2 linked regions of the Mytilus edulis genome follow. The protein of the gene in region 2 interacts with the protein of the main gene of each other region in a biochemical or structural test. Links are inferred from orthologs where the notes say so. Each region holds a gene or a part of one and is shown on either strand. Other genes may lie near its edges. The genes, in order: transcription factor 7-like 2 and serine/threonine-protein kinase NLK-like.

The links.
Region 1: of the proteins of serine/threonine-protein kinase NLK-like (region 2) and transcription factor 7-like 2, one has a biochemical effect on the other in vitro, tested with the Caenorhabditis elegans proteins (4 studies listed by BioGRID). The link is inferred for Mytilus edulis from reciprocal best matches to the Caenorhabditis elegans genes lit-1 and pop-1.

Annotation. Positions count from the first base shown.
Region 1 is NC_092352.1:20,412,786-20,420,759, reverse strand, and holds the start of transcription factor 7-like 2, read right to left. Parts: upstream 3,263-7,974; 5' UTR 3,149-3,262; coding exon 2,999-3,148; intron 2,871-2,998; coding exon 2,807-2,870; intron 1-2,806. UniProt on the Caenorhabditis elegans protein: Transcription factor. Part of the Wnt signaling asymmetry pathway. Binds to the consensus sequence, 5'-(C/T)TTTG(A/T)(A/T)(G/C)-3'.
Region 2 is NC_092349.1:90,583,096-90,591,045, forward strand, and holds the start of serine/threonine-protein kinase NLK-like, read left to right. Parts: upstream 1-4,863; 5' UTR 4,864-5,400; coding exon 5,401-5,582; intron 5,583-7,496; coding exon 7,497-7,626; intron 7,627-7,950. UniProt on the Caenorhabditis elegans protein: Has a role in the Wnt signaling pathway controlling the asymmetry of cell divisions during embryogenesis. Operates in the AB and EMS cell lineages influencing cell specification.

The sequences.
Region 1 (7,974 bases), on a different chromosome or scaffold from region 2:
TATATTACTATCAGGAAATAGTTTTCTGAATATTTTTAAAAAGATGTGGTATGATTGCCCATGTGACCAATATCCACAAAAGACACAGAAATTAACATCTACAGGTTAGGGTATGGGAATTAACAATAAGCAAAGTCCATACAAAATAGTAAAGAGGACAGTAAACAAGAAATGAAATGCAACTTCTAGCTTGAGCTTTATACATGAACAACCTTGAACAGTCAAGACATTCATATGGTCCAGGTTGGTTGATACAAGACTAAAAGTTGTGTTTAAATAATTGCATTTTGTTTTTAAGCAACTTTCAGCACTTTAGGATATATTATGATGTCAATTTTTTGGGATGGAAGGCAAAAACCTACAACTTACTCATGGTATTCTTTCAAACAATTTTTACCACTGGTTAAATTGTTCATGTTGTGGTTCATATTAAAGATTAATGATTACAAAATAATCAAAACATAAAAACTATTTCAAAGCAAAAGTATGACAGATAATTGAGTTACACATGAAAGGATGCTGCGACTCAATCCTAAAATAAATCAAAAACATTTGTCCCTCAACAAGACTTGTAAGTTGAAAATGGTTCCAAAAGTGAAGTTTTTTGTTATTCAAAACAATTACTTACATACATGTACAATGGACAAAGAAAAGTTTTGTTCCTTTTTATAGATATGGGTTTCAGCTTTAAAATTTGAGTTTATAAATATATGCATCATATCTATGTTTCCTAACCAGTGAAATTTCCAAACTGATAATATAACGGCCTAACTTTTTCATTTTTTTTATTTTGCTGTTTAGTGAAAACTTCCATATGTTTCCAATTTTTGATAGAAAAGGACTTAATGGTCTACAAATTGTGTATGGAATTTGAAGTGATGATATCTTCTGAAGGAGACTGTCAGTACCAGCTGAATGTAAGCACTTGTCAATTACTGTTGACAACTTAATCATATACCCTTAGAAACAATGGCAGAAATCAAGTCCGCCCATTGTCATCATCTACATGGCTACATTATGATGACAGAATACAAATTATTGTAAACAAACAATTTTCAGATGCACCAAACCACAGTCCCTTTGCAGCTGATACAGACTAACTCTGAACAAGGCTAATTTGGAAATTATTATCAACTTCATTAATAAAAGAGGGGGCAGGACCTTTTTCAGGACGTCAGAATCAGGTATTTTTAATCTCTGGATTTTGGGATTGAACCTTTAAGGATCCAGGAATTCTTTTTTCGAATTTCGGGATGTCTGGCATGGATTTATTTTTATTTAATATTCGGGACCTCTTGATTACATCTTTTTAAGCCCAGGATTTTGAGATCAGGAGCCCTCCGATCCCCCTCATAAAAGTTATACACTGAAAATTAACAAAGTGTTGTTTAATTGAAGTACAAAAGTTTCAGTTCTCCAACAGTTTTTTTTTTTTTCATTTTGGACCTAATTATAAGTCTGAATGATTTTGTCTGGCCATTGGATGGCTTACATGTGTTGTAATAATGTATGAGATGTTTTTGTTTGAAAATTGTATAATTTTATTACACAATGTCACTATTATATGTCCCCAAGGAATTTACCTTTTTTCAAGATGTTCTCGAAAAAGCCATTTTAGACCTAATTTTTGTATTAAGATCCATCAGTATATAAAGGATTATTCTTTGGTTGGAGGGCATGTTCAGCTTGGTTACACTTATAATTAATTTAAAGTTGTCAAACCAACAATAGAAATATATCTTCTTTTGAACAAAAAACCCAAAGATATTTACTATTTCTTTTGTTCAGTGTTTTTGTCTAGTTGCTTCTCAAATTTAAATCTGAAGATAACAACTTTTCAGGGATCATAAGAAAGTCCAAATCTGAAGATAACAGTTATGATATGATAATTATTGAAAATTAAATTTTGTTAACTGATAAAAAATACACTTAATAAAAACTATTCAATAAAATATTTCTATCTGTTTATAACAAACCAAATTAAAGCTCTCTGTTTATATATTTTTTTAATTGAACCAGGGTGCATTCAATGTATACTGGAATTTACTTTGACAAAACTCTTCTTTTATGTAAAAATTAAGAAATATAATTATACATATTGAAACTCAGTCGGCACAAAATTATTCAAATTAGAAGTTTCAGATTTTTTTTATCCTTGATTATCTTTGGGTGAGAAATTTCACATCTTTTTTAATTTTCATTACTCTAACAGTTTTAGGGGATTATGAAAACTGTTGTTCTGTTTGCCCTCACATTAACTTTTAAAATAAATGAATCAAATGCCTTTTGTATGAGAAAACAAAAGATAATGGATTTTAGACAGAAAGGATATTGTTGTCAAAACAATTAACATGTTTAATTGACATGTGTTGTGATTTCAATCAAATCTGACAGACTGTGATCTGATTATCTAATTATCTGTATAATAAACAACTTCCACTCTCAATGACCATTGGTCAGCTTAGCTTATCTGACCCAATGGTCTTCATTCCCAGGCAATTCAAAATTGTAGGATCAAATTTGACTCTATTAACTGAAGTGTAAACATAACCAAAAACCTGTATTATGAATCATCTTATAAATAAAAGTGCAAGTGAATAAAACTGTTGTTACAAGTAGTAAATAAATTTACAGTTCACTGACCAACACAATGTTTTGAAGAGGAGTCCATTTTACTACAATAACGAACCTTAACAATTAAATAACAGAGTTGTAAAGCGACCATAATATTATCATGTGATAAAAATAGAACGGTGTGCTGCTTAACAAAGATCAAAGGGAATACTGTATTATGATTAAAGCTTACCATCTTCTCGCCCGTTTTCTGTTTTGTCACCGTCGTATCCGTTCCCCAAACTACCATTTTTACCCTGCAAAGAAAACAAAATTCCCTTATATTTGCAGCAAATATCCTCGTTGATGTATAACGTATCACATGGTAAGATCAAAGGGTAATTCCTCCATTGATGTAATTATTTCAATCAACATTTTTACGAACCTCTTCGGTTTCCGTTACTAAGCCTAATTTGTCTTCGGATAAATTTTCAGATGATCTCTTTTCCTCTTCACCTTCATCTTTATACACTTTCACTTCGTCATTTGAAAAGAAGTCTTCTGAGCCGCCAGAGTTCACATGCGGCATTGTCATTTCACCAAAAACCTAAATAAATCCCACTCTTTTTTGTGCCACTATCTCCCATACACGTTTGGTTTCCGCCATGAATAACTTGTGAAGACATTCAGATGGGAAAGTACCCAATTGGCAACGAGCACTTTACTTCATAGCCAATCAAATCTCGGCTTACAAAATAGGTTCGGTATGACGGAGGTCATCGAAAGGGACACGTATTTATTAAATTTGATATTTGAAACAATAAAATCAACTTTACAGAAAATACATTCCTTAAAAAAAGTACGAAATAAATTAAATCATTTTTTAAATTGACCATTACAATCAAAATAATAGCACGATATTACTTAGTTCGTGCAATAATTGCAAACATCATGTCATTATTTACATAAGTAATTCGATTTTAAATATCAGAGGAGTTTGCCCCCAGGTACCTTCCCTTTGATGTTAGAGCTCTACAGTTGAAGTAAATGCGTGCAAGTGCAATGAAAAAATGATGTGTGCTTCTCCTTCGTTTTGCAATGTGTTTTGATTGCTGGAATAATTGATTTTGATGTGATTAGTAAATATTTTGCCTTAAATTAAGAAAATTAGCTTTTTGAAGATGAAATGTCATAGGAAAACGGTTATATAAAACTGATATTTTAAATAATATAAATTATTATAATTTAAATTAATTTATTTAAGTCAGATATTTGATGGACTTCGTATGGACTTATTTAAACTGTCCTGGACGAAAAGAGTTTAAATAGCCTCCATTCTTCTTGTGCGTCTTAACATATAATGTTTTAACACAGAACCTTTGATCTCCTGTTTATCTCAAATCTCAACGATCCGATAGATGGGCTTGCACCCTAAAGGTCAAGTGTTCAGGGAGAAAAATTCATTGATTTGTTCAAATTATATCTTCAATCTTATATTTTTTGTGTATTAGTAATTATTTAAACAAAGGATTTGTCATTTTCAACGGTAAAGTGAAATGTGTTATATGAGAAATTGGAATTTTTGTATTAAACTCATTCCGTCGGTTTCCTTTGATCTTTGTCGGCAAGCCTTTGTGATACCTTATATGGCAGTTCAGATTGAACATTCAGTCTAGTTTGTTTACAATTTGTTTGTCTTGTAACTATCGCCATCTAGTGGATGCGACAAGGAAAATTATACTTTTTGGTCATCAGAAATTTATGATATGTGTATTGCATTTTGTCTTTTCCTTGACAGGTAAAGTAATTCCGGTGGAAACAGAGAATAAGCAGATACTCGTTCGCACACATTATGCATTTTCTGAAAATTTGTGAGAACTATTGAATGTAGATTTAAAGAGTACGTGGTTTACAAGAAAACATCAAGGATATCATCTTTCAAATAATCTGGAAATGTTTATATTCCACTTGTTTACTGATGTCGTCTTCTAAATTTCTTATCAGGGCAACTGTTTATAAACCTAGGGTAAGCAATTAATATCCTTTAGTTGAAATATTACACGAAGTTTATCATTTAATTCCTCTTTTAAAAATAAAATGAGACTAAAGTCAATTAAAAATATTCTGAAAAAATAAATAGTAGATTAAACCTGTGTTAAAATTGTCTCAGATCAAACGTTTTGAAAGATATATTTCTTTTTGGTATAATTCAAAATCACTTACTTACGGGTGATTATGAAAAAAATATAACAATTATTAATCATTTTTGTTTATAGCTGTATAGTTTTGATTTTCTTCTTTTCTGTCTTTAATTTTTTTTGTCCATACAAAGAATCGGATAAAAAAAATAGAATAAGGAGCGATAATTAGATTGTGAGGTTGAGAGTATAACAGTTTTTTTTTATTAATAATTATTTTGATCCCACACCGTTGAAAATAAATATTAAAACTGAATTAGAAAAAGAATACTTTAAAGTCAGGAAATTTTGTTTAATTAAATATTCCGATCGGCCCAAATTTGAAAGCTGCACTACTTTCCACGAACTAAATTGTCGTCCCTCAAAAGCATTGCGAAATCTCGTCTCAGAAGCCTTACAACTTAAATCTTTCTAAAGATATTTTCACTCAGAAGAGGCAATCGAGAAATACAGACCTTTTAAGAGAATATCTAAACCCTGCCTTTTCTCTCATCGCAGACGTTGGAGATTAAATTTAGACATATCTGCGCGTATGTGTGTGTGTGTTTGTTCGTGTACCATAGTGTCACAATAAGCAAATAACATAAAATTACAAAGTTTTTATAATATCTACAAAATACATAGATACATTTCTACGAATAGCTTTAGGTTCAAGCAGAAATGGTTCCCGTAAGCGATTCTGATGCAGCAATTAGCGCTACTCAAAATGATCAAGTCTTTCTACCCTTGGTGCTTAATTTTGTATTATTGTTTTTTCACTTTTCCAGTTTTTTTAATGTATCGGGTTTTTTCGGTTGTTTGTTGTTGTTGGTTTTTTTTATTAATAATTTTAACAGTTACCTTAAAACTAACCGTAATGAATAGATAAATATTATTTAAATAGTGAAAACAGCTCCTTATAGAAATATTAAAATGAAAAAAAAATATGTTTTATTCACATTCGCGACGGGTGGATGAAATTAAAATTTCATAGAAATCGATAGAAAAAGATGAAAGAAATCAGCGAAACGGATTTGATAGCCATGTATACCGCCCTCGAAGGTTATGTTACTTTTATTATATTAAAGAATCACTGAGCGTAAATTATACCCTACTGAAGCGGAATTGTTTTGTTTTGTAACATTTTATTTTTATTCCTTTTTGAACAGACTTATGTTATACATTTGTTAATGCGCAGTATTGTTTTGTTTTATAACTATTTAATAATTACCTGAATAATGTTGCAATGGGGGGGGGGGGGGGGGGGGGGGTGGCTTGCATGGAATATAAATTTGACTACATTATATTTATGCCGTATATCTAGTATTCCAGAAGCTGATTACAATAGAAGTATATGCTATATATTAAGTATCTCAGTAATGAGAGCAGATCATTTACATTTTTAATTTATAAATATCTAAATTTTGTAAATGATAAATAAATAAGCTATAATATATTTAACCCGTTTAACCATAAAATTAGTGTCATGGAAATTATAACTGTTCATATTCAGGCTAAAATGAAAGTACAAATGCGTTAAAACTTCACGAAAAAATAACATTCTCTCCTATTATGGAACCCAAGTATTTTATATTGACGGTCACTGATATAATACTTCCATGGTCCTATACTAAGCAATTTACTTTCATCTACAGATGTGTATACAGATTTTTAAATAAAGTGTAACCATATGAAGGCTTTGATGAAATCATATGCAAAGGAAAATTAATAAAAATCAGGGAATACAAACTTGAAGACGTATAAGGAACATAAAAAAAACCACCAAAATATAAACACGAACAAGATACTGGTGGTAGCTTATTGTTTGGACATTAACATCAACTGGACGTGACATTAATTTATGGCAATGCGATTTTGAGAATTTTACTTTATTCATTGGAAATATAGTTTTCTGCTCCGCATGCTGCTGGATACAGTTAACCGGTGTTTTTACGGCGGTTTTATTGAATTTCAAGTTTCGAAAATGGTTTATGTAAATATCGTTAAAAGGCACAGTAATAGGAATGTACTTGCACCCATCGATATATTAAGCTCATCATATGCAGTGTTGTAATGATTACACGCCTGTCCATTTTTGTATGAATTGGGTGTCACAGTTGCATAGGGGCGAGTGGAAGATTCCACGTTCCATTTTTCTTGAATGGAATTCCTACTGCGGATTTGTTTTGCAAATGTTACATTAAAGAAATTGCATGCCAAACATGATTGTTTTGGGTGGTAGGGGGGGGGGGGGGGGGGGCGGTGTGATACGTATAATGTCTATTGTGAATTTTTTGTAGCAATGCTTTATGGATAATTTTAGAATCCAGAAACAACTAAATTATTCCTATTCCACAATGGAAAAAAAATAGCAGAATATAACAAATAGTCTTCTTACTGTCTGTGTAAATAATAGGATTCCATTCCAATAAAAATGAATTATAAACAATTGTTAATAAAATATACATATTTCAACAGTGTGTATATATTTTGATAAAGGGTATCGGGTCCCGCGGAATCTGGTGTCTCGCCTGCGTCTTTTGCTGTCATCGGTTCTTATTTCAAAATGTTCAACTTACAAAAAAGAAAAAGAAATAAATTATAGAATTGAGAATGGAAACAGAGAATGTGTCAAAGAGACAGCAACCCGACTATAGATTAGAAGGTCGGTCGACGCAGCGAGAAACCCCCGCACTCTAACGCGTGCTTCAGCTAGGCTAGCCTCTCAACAATTATATACTAGTTGAGCACAAACGACTCAAATCCTAACTACGAAAAAAAACCCTATCAAAATGTGTATTCTTTAACTGGTCAACTTGATTCGGAATATAGAAAATAAAAAGATGTGGGCTTTCTCTGAATTATCAAGAAGCCGTTTCTAAACAAATTTGAAGACAGTTCAGCAATAAGTATCTGTGTTTATGTGGATGTCTTCATCATAATAAATTAATAATTTGTCAAAATGAAGTTTTTATTATGCAATTTTTTTTTAGATTTGATAAAAATTATAGGTTACCGGACCTTTTTTTCACCCGAGAGGTTGTGCAAAATTGTCAGGCACGGAAAATCAATTTTGTGTGATCAAAAGGAAATTTCATGATAGACTTTTAAGCTAAAATGTGACAAGATAGCTCCTATAACATGCTCTCAGAAAGAAAAAAAGAAAAATGGGTTACCGAACTTATCTTGCTACTTAAAAAAAGGCAAATTCAACACATTTCAATTATAAATTACTCTATCTGAG
Region 2 (7,950 bases):
ATGTCAATGTCCATAAAATATATATCAGTACACTCTTAAAAACTAATTAATATGTGATCATACAGAGGAAATGTTGTACAAGTTCTTCATATATATATATATTTCATTTTCTGACCAGTATATAATATGTCTTGTTGTTTTATATGTACTAATAGGTAAATCGTTGCATTTCTTTCACTTTCCACTTCAAAAGCCATGACTACCATGACTACACCAAATGTATTTCTATGTAAAACAACACTAAAAACAGAAAACAAAAAGTATTCTGCAAATTGTGGCAACTTTCCCTTGAATATGTAGTTTACCTCTACCCATCAAATCCATTAATAAAAATATATACATGGTATTTGGTTTTCAATGATATATAACCAGAAATACATTTACTTAACAGTTGATGCCCCATGCTTTAAACATTTATATTAAAACTCATTATAAATGCATCATTTAATTTCACTATTTATAGGGCAAAGTATACTCAATCATATTGCCTTCAAATGTATATTTAAATTTCATCAAAATAAGAAACAGATGAAATAAAATGTACATCGATATTTGAAAACAGAGAGACACTGGATCCAGAGGTCAGTTCTCTTTTAATTTGAAAATCTCCCTTGAAAGAACAGTCTTGTGAAAATCTGCACTTTATGAGATACAACTTAAGATGTTTCTCCAGTATAAGTCATAGTTTAATTTTTCGAAATTGTTAAATAATGTTGAACGATTATTTGTTAACTATAAACATATTGTCAAATGTGACTAATTATTTGTTTTAGCTCATTAATACAATGATTTATTTGAATGCTCTATAAAACAAAATAAAAGAGCAGAGTTCCAATGTGCTCTGTGTTGCACTTATTCTATATTTTCAAGAGACATACATAAATTAGGCCGTTAGTTTTCTCGTTTGAATTGTTTAACATTGTCATTTTGGGACCTTTTATAGCCGACTTATATAAGGTATGGGCTTTGCTCATTGTTAAAAGCCCTACGGTGACCTATAGTTGTTGATTTATGTGTTATTTTGGTCTTTTGTGGAGAGTTGTCTCATAGGCAATCATACCACATCGATAGGCGAATCCAGGCCCCCCCCCCCCATTCGTGGGGAAAATTTTGTTGATTATATAGGGAATCATGGAAGCATGACTAGAGAGGCCCCCCTTTAGGTCAGTCAGCGCCCCTCCTCCCCTCTTGATAAAGTAAAAATATCGATTGCATAATCCTTTAAATTACAGCCTAGAAAATTAAAGAAAATAACATTGTATTTATATAATTCTTTAGGATTACATAATCTAAATCTTTAAATAATGTTTTAAAAATACTTTGATATAGATAACATTATACAATATAGATAGACATTACGTATTATTTGTTTTTACAATCCATAAAGATGGTTATTATAATACAAAACATAATTCTGTCTTCATTAACAATCATGACCCAATTCTTTTAGTGTAATTTCATCCCCCCCCCCCCTATACTTGCTATTTGAGGCATAAAACATGGAGAAATACCTTTAGAAGGGGTATAGAAAAACTGTCAAGTAACACACTGTCCACAATAGGGTTTATATTTGTAAACACAAATCAAAGAAAGAAAATTGTGGTTTCGGTTGTCATGGGTCATGCCACACATTTTTAAACTAGATACCCCACTGATGCATGTGATGATTGTGGCCAAGTTTGGAATAATTTGGCCCAGTAGTTTCAGAGGAGAAGATTTTTGTAAAAGTTAACGACGTGGGACGCGGGACGCAAAGTGATGGGAAAAGCTCACTTGGCCCTTCTGGCCAGGTGAGCTAACAATCCAAACATATTTATAATCTTAAATAACTAAAATGCTATAAAAGCACATTTCTCTAATTTTAAAAAATATGTTTTCTTTCATTTTTATGTTGATAAGTGAATAATTGAACAAATCTTGTGTATGGACACAGATGTATGACAATGACATATCTCACTCATTACAATCTCAATCTTTTTCAATTAAATTAAAAACATCCAATCAAATTTTAGTAACCTTAGTTCTGAGTATTTTGAGATGGCTGTTATTATTACAAATATTACATTAAAAGTCAGGATGAAACATTGTAAGTTATAAAAATACATTGTCATATTTTAAGGACATGTCTATAAATTGTTTTATTAATCTAAACTATTTCATATATTTTTACAATACAATGGGAGACAAATCATGTTTAACAATTTTGATTTTTGATCAATATAGATTGTCTCCCTTATTTTAGAAAAATAAATTTAAGATGAATATCATTCTATTTATCAATTTCAACTGCAGTTAAGATTTGTTTTCTTCTGTAGAAAATACTATTTTATAAACAAATAGAATAGAGAATGGAAAAGGGGGAATGTGTGAAAGAGATGACAACAGAAAACAGCTCATGGCCAACAATGGGTCTAAATGCAGCAAGAAAATATTACACCCAGGAGCAGGCTTCAGAAGGCTGCATATATATATTTAAGTCTCTCACAACTGTTATAAATGTGATACGGTCTTTAGATCAATACATGTATTTGTAAAAAAAAAAAGTGTTGTTCTATTGATTGATGACATAGGTAATTGGAGACACTCCTCCCAGAAACATCTTGCCTTGAAACACCCTGCAACATAGCTTTAGTGAACAAGTCACATCAAATGCTCCAACATAAATATTAGGTAAAGGTCAACCCAAAATCTCTGAGAATGTTTTTTTCTTAGTAGCAATCTATAAAAAAAATTAGGATGGCATGCTTTCACATCTGTGAGAAAGTGATCTATAGAATGGTTTTACATTAACAGGTTTAAGTTCTTATAAGCTTGCTTTCAGTTATTGCAAGTATTATGTGATAACAGTATTATTTAACATTAAAGTGTGTTTTTCTTTATTAAAGCATTTTTTGTTGTTGAGTTTTTGATATCTATCATACTTTTATCCTAGACCTCAGTGCTTTTCTTGTATTGTTCTAATTGTATTTTTTATTTATCTTTTGATAGTCAGCTGTTGTGAGAAGTATATACTCTGTGGGAATCAGATCCATATTTTACCTACGATCGTTTGTAATTTTTGAGTAGTTTCTCTTCCATTGATTTCAATCTAAGATATATACCCAGTGACGTGTGTGAAAAAAGTCAAAGTGAACATTTAGGTCATATATTGACCTATAATGGTTTACTTTTTTGAAATTGTTATTTGGATGGAGAGTTGTCTCATTGGCACTCACACCACATCTTTCTATATCTATTTGTGACTGAACTAGTATTTTCTTTCCTTCTCTAATTAAAAGTATTACAGTAGTGGTCAATAAACTGGTTCCTCTTGCGTGACTGTGTGTGTCAGTGTGATTATCATGATGCTGATAGATTATCAGAGTTTAAAAACGCGAAAATGGAACAATATCTACAGGTCCAATTCTTACAAAACGTTTTTTTAGTGCTTGACATGATATTCATTTGCTACTTGCTAGTGCTGTTCACTTAGCTTTGAACTGTATGTATTGGTCCTCTTTGGTGATTTCTGATTTCCCCGCTTTTCTGAGTAGCCACCTACATGTCTGTTGTACACACATTAAATGTTAAATTTGTGTTACATATCTTCCACTTACAATTAAAACTATACATACCAGTTTTAAGGCAATAATCTTCTGTCTAAACTCCACATTACATAAGGCTCTCCAAGAATCAATGATCTGTTATATATAATGATGCTACATTGATCACTCAGTAGATGCCCTATCTTTAAATCAATCTAAAAATATCAATGAAATCTAATTTTATCTGATCAATTATTCCACATCTACATGGATCTATAAGTTCATTAGTTGTAACCATCTTTCCACAAGATAATTCAACAACTTTTCAAAATGGATACAATTTGCAACATGAAAAAAATAATAAAAAAAATAATAAATTTACAATTTTCGTAAAATCATTCTTGAAATTCATAGACTAGTATCACATCTTACATCTGAACATTTTTTTTTTTATTTTTCCCAATCCCTGTTAATTCTGCCCCAAAAAAACTTCGTTAAAAATCATGAAAAAAAGGAGGATGTTTTCCCTTACATGCATGACCCATCACCTGGAAAATAATTATGATTACTGACTTGATATTTATATACACATATATTTTGTTTTTATTTACACATTCCCATGTATTTAATATAGTTTAATAATAACTTATGCCAAAGCCCTACCCCCTCCCCCCCTATCTCAAATTTTGTAAGTCTGTTTAAAAGTCTAAAAATGAAGAATTTTTCCTTCCTTTTCTACCTCTTTTGAAGTTCAAACAACAATTGGAATGTAAGAAAAAAATCATAGTGCTTAAGGCTATCTTAAAAAAATGAATTAAGTTCATATTTAATTTCTCAATCATACTATTGAAAAACAATTTTAATCTCCTTGAAGTTCAGTTTTATAATTTTTTTTATTAGAAAAATAAAAAATTCTACAAAGTTTAGAAATTATTCTTTCATTAATTTTTCAAAGGATGGATTTTTTGCAAACATAAATGTATCAAAAAAAATAATAATTTTGTCTTTATTAATTTTTGTCTTTTTTTTCCATTCAATAAAGTTTTATTAAATATTTTAATTTGTACAAATCCATCAATTGAGCTTCATGATAGTTCAATTCGACAAATACATGAACAATTGTCCAATTAAACAATAAACAGATAATTATCAATAAGTAAATCCTAATTAACCAATTATACTCCATGTCATAAGAACATTGTTATTTTCCCAGTGTTTTTCAACATTTGTGTAATTGAAATTATCCTTATTCGGATTACGTGTATATATATTCGTAGGATGAGATTTTTATGACGTGATCAAAACATGAATAAAGAAAACAAGGCTTCCACAGTCTACATCAGTCCTTTGTCGTCATGATGATCACTTCCGTAAAAAGAAATAATTAGTGGGCGTGTCTTTCACAAACACGTGCTTTCGGTTTGACATATTGTTGAAGTCCTTCTTCAGTTACCGGACATTTTAAGAAAGTATGAGTCTTAAATGGATTGTATTATTTTGAGATTTTGATAACAACTATCTTAACATTTTTCATTGATTCCTAGATGTTTCGCTAGTGGATAATTGAAAAAGATTAATTAAATTTTACTTTTCTTTTCGTGACCTACAACAGACAACATTGCATTTTGGGAAAGATTGAAGCGTTGTCACGTGATTTCTTTGTGTGCCGTACTCGCGTGTGAGTCAGAACCCTGTCACCAAATAACACGAAATTATCTTTATGTTTTGGTAAATTTATATAAGATTTCAACACCAAACTCTCCAGTTAATTCGGAGAGTCATTAGTGAGTGTGGATGTATCGGACTTAGAAATGCAACAGTGAAATTTGAGCATTCCAAGCGTTTTTTTCGTGCAGGCAGTGTTCGTGGGGTTGTAATGGCAGTGGTTGGACATAGACACGCGAGGCATATCATGGCTTTTCAAGGAGGGGCACCACCCGCTCCATCTCAGCATGCAATCCTCACAGCAGCAGTAGCTGTCCCATACTTTCAGGTTGTTCCTCCTCAAGACGTACAACCCGACCGGCCAATCGGTTATGGGGCTTTTGGTGTTGTATGGTGAGTGTATATTTCTTTGTTCGTCTCGTGCAAGTCTGTTCATAGAATATTTTAAACAAAGAAATAATAATAAAATGTTCATTTTCATATTATTCAATTAGTCAAAATAAAAAAGAAACGGGTACCGTTCATTGCCTCATCTTCGTTTCAACTTCTTTGTTCTTGAAGTAATTTCTTTGTGACATTGTCACAAAATCAGCTGATTGTTCGTGACAATGTGAACACAATTTACCTTTTTACAAATAAAGCATTCCATTCATAATTTAACTGGATTGATAGATAATTGTTATCAATTAAACTTAATAGAAAAACGGTATAAGATACAAATTAAAATTTATATGAAATTATCTTGTACGGACAGGTGAAATATATTTTGGAATTCATTTCATTTGATGTGACTTTATATTTGATTAGTAGACATGAACTTAGAGAATTTGTTTTTGTTATGAATTAAAGATATGTTGGTCATTAAAAATAGTTAAGTATGATCCACAGTCAACTTTTAGCTTTTTGTAAACAATAATAGTTTCACAAAAAAAATATCAAAACATCTTGGAAAAAAAAATTCCAGGTTTCAGTTCACAGTTGTGGTCCAATTGTTAACCTTATATATCTATCAGTTTTAAAAAGAAAAAAATCCCATCCAGCTCACACAGAAGTTAAACATATACTTATATTTTATAGGATGTTCAACATGTTCAATGTAAACAAATGAAAATAAACAAAAGGGTATTCAAGATACATTGTCATGAATGTGGTCACTTTAAACTATATACAATCCAAAAAGAAGCAAACAAAAAAACGATCGTTTTAAAAGAATATGTTAATTTGAAGCATTATTTTTAACAACCCCAGCTGTCAGATACAATACTTGAAAAAGTAAAACGAAAATCTTTTTTAAACGAGACCTCATGCCAACTTCCTTTCTGTAAATTGGAAATTGTCTTAAACTACATATAAAATACCCATTTGTAAGTATATATTGATGCATTTGTATAGTTATGGGTAATACTACATGTTTATTATGTGTGACATGCACAAGTATTACTCAAGAAAATTGTGCTACATGTACATGTACCACATTCCTACATTATTTGTTTATGAAATTTTTATTCAAAAATCAAATCAGAACATGCAATCTGATTTTACGATTAATCAATTAAGTTTTCAAGTCAACTCTTAACCCTATCTTAAGTCTTAAATTGATATATTACATGTTACAAGAAGAATATTTTATATCTGAATTTTGTTGCGTTGTATACGTAAAGACAATTTAAATGCACAGAAACCTTGATGTTAAAATGTTGAACTTGTGATGAAAAGACATTAGTTCTAGGTGACTGTCCATAGTGATCATTGACAACTTTTAACAGGTCAAAAAAGTCATTTACATTTTATTCATAGAAGTTAATGACACCGAGGTAAATGACCACAAAAATTTCATGTCAAATTTTAACATGATCTCAAAATGTACTTAAAAAAGATAGATACTTTTTATATAGTTTTGATTTTAAAAGACATCGATATCAATATTGAAATTTGTAGTTGATACGGGTGAAAAAAGTATAAACAGTTGGTTGTTTGTTGTACAGAATTGATTCACATGACTGTGTTGTATGGTTGCTGTCTTTTTGACATTTATTCTTCATCTCATACAAAAGATTTATAATTCGCTTTGCAATTCCTGAAAATTATGACACATAAAGTTTGTATGAAAAAAATAATTGTATGATTGCTGGTGACTTTCAGTCTACTATTCATAAGTTCGTATGATGTGGATGTAAATAATTATAATCTCTTCCAAAACGAGCAAAACATGCACAACAAAGTCAGCTATGAAAGATCACAAATTTGAAACCATTCATAAATTTTATAATTTGGTCCACCATAATTGAAAGTTTAATCTATTTATAGGTCAGTGACGGACCCAAGAGATGGAAAGCGAGTGGCCCTGAAGAAAATGCCAAGTGTGTTCCAGAATTTAGTCTCCTCCAAGAGAGTATTCCGTGAACTGAGAATGCTTTGTCACTTTAAACACGACAACGTAAGTACAAGAACATGATGAAGATTTTTCAAAATATATATATATACCGTACATGTAAATCATCATGTACAAGTAATGTATTTAATTTATATAGTTCTAGCAACTCAAATCATTGCTTTGATTTGTCAGGTCTTTCATTATTACTCATTTATGCACAGCTTTGTAAAAGTTAAAATAACATAAAAACTGATCTCTGCTCGAGGAAAATTGGAAATTGAAGTCCATAGTCAAATAGCAAAATCAAATTCTCAAACACTGCTACACACCATACGAATGTACAACAACTATCTTATTCGTCAGTATTCCTGACTTGTAAGTGTCTTG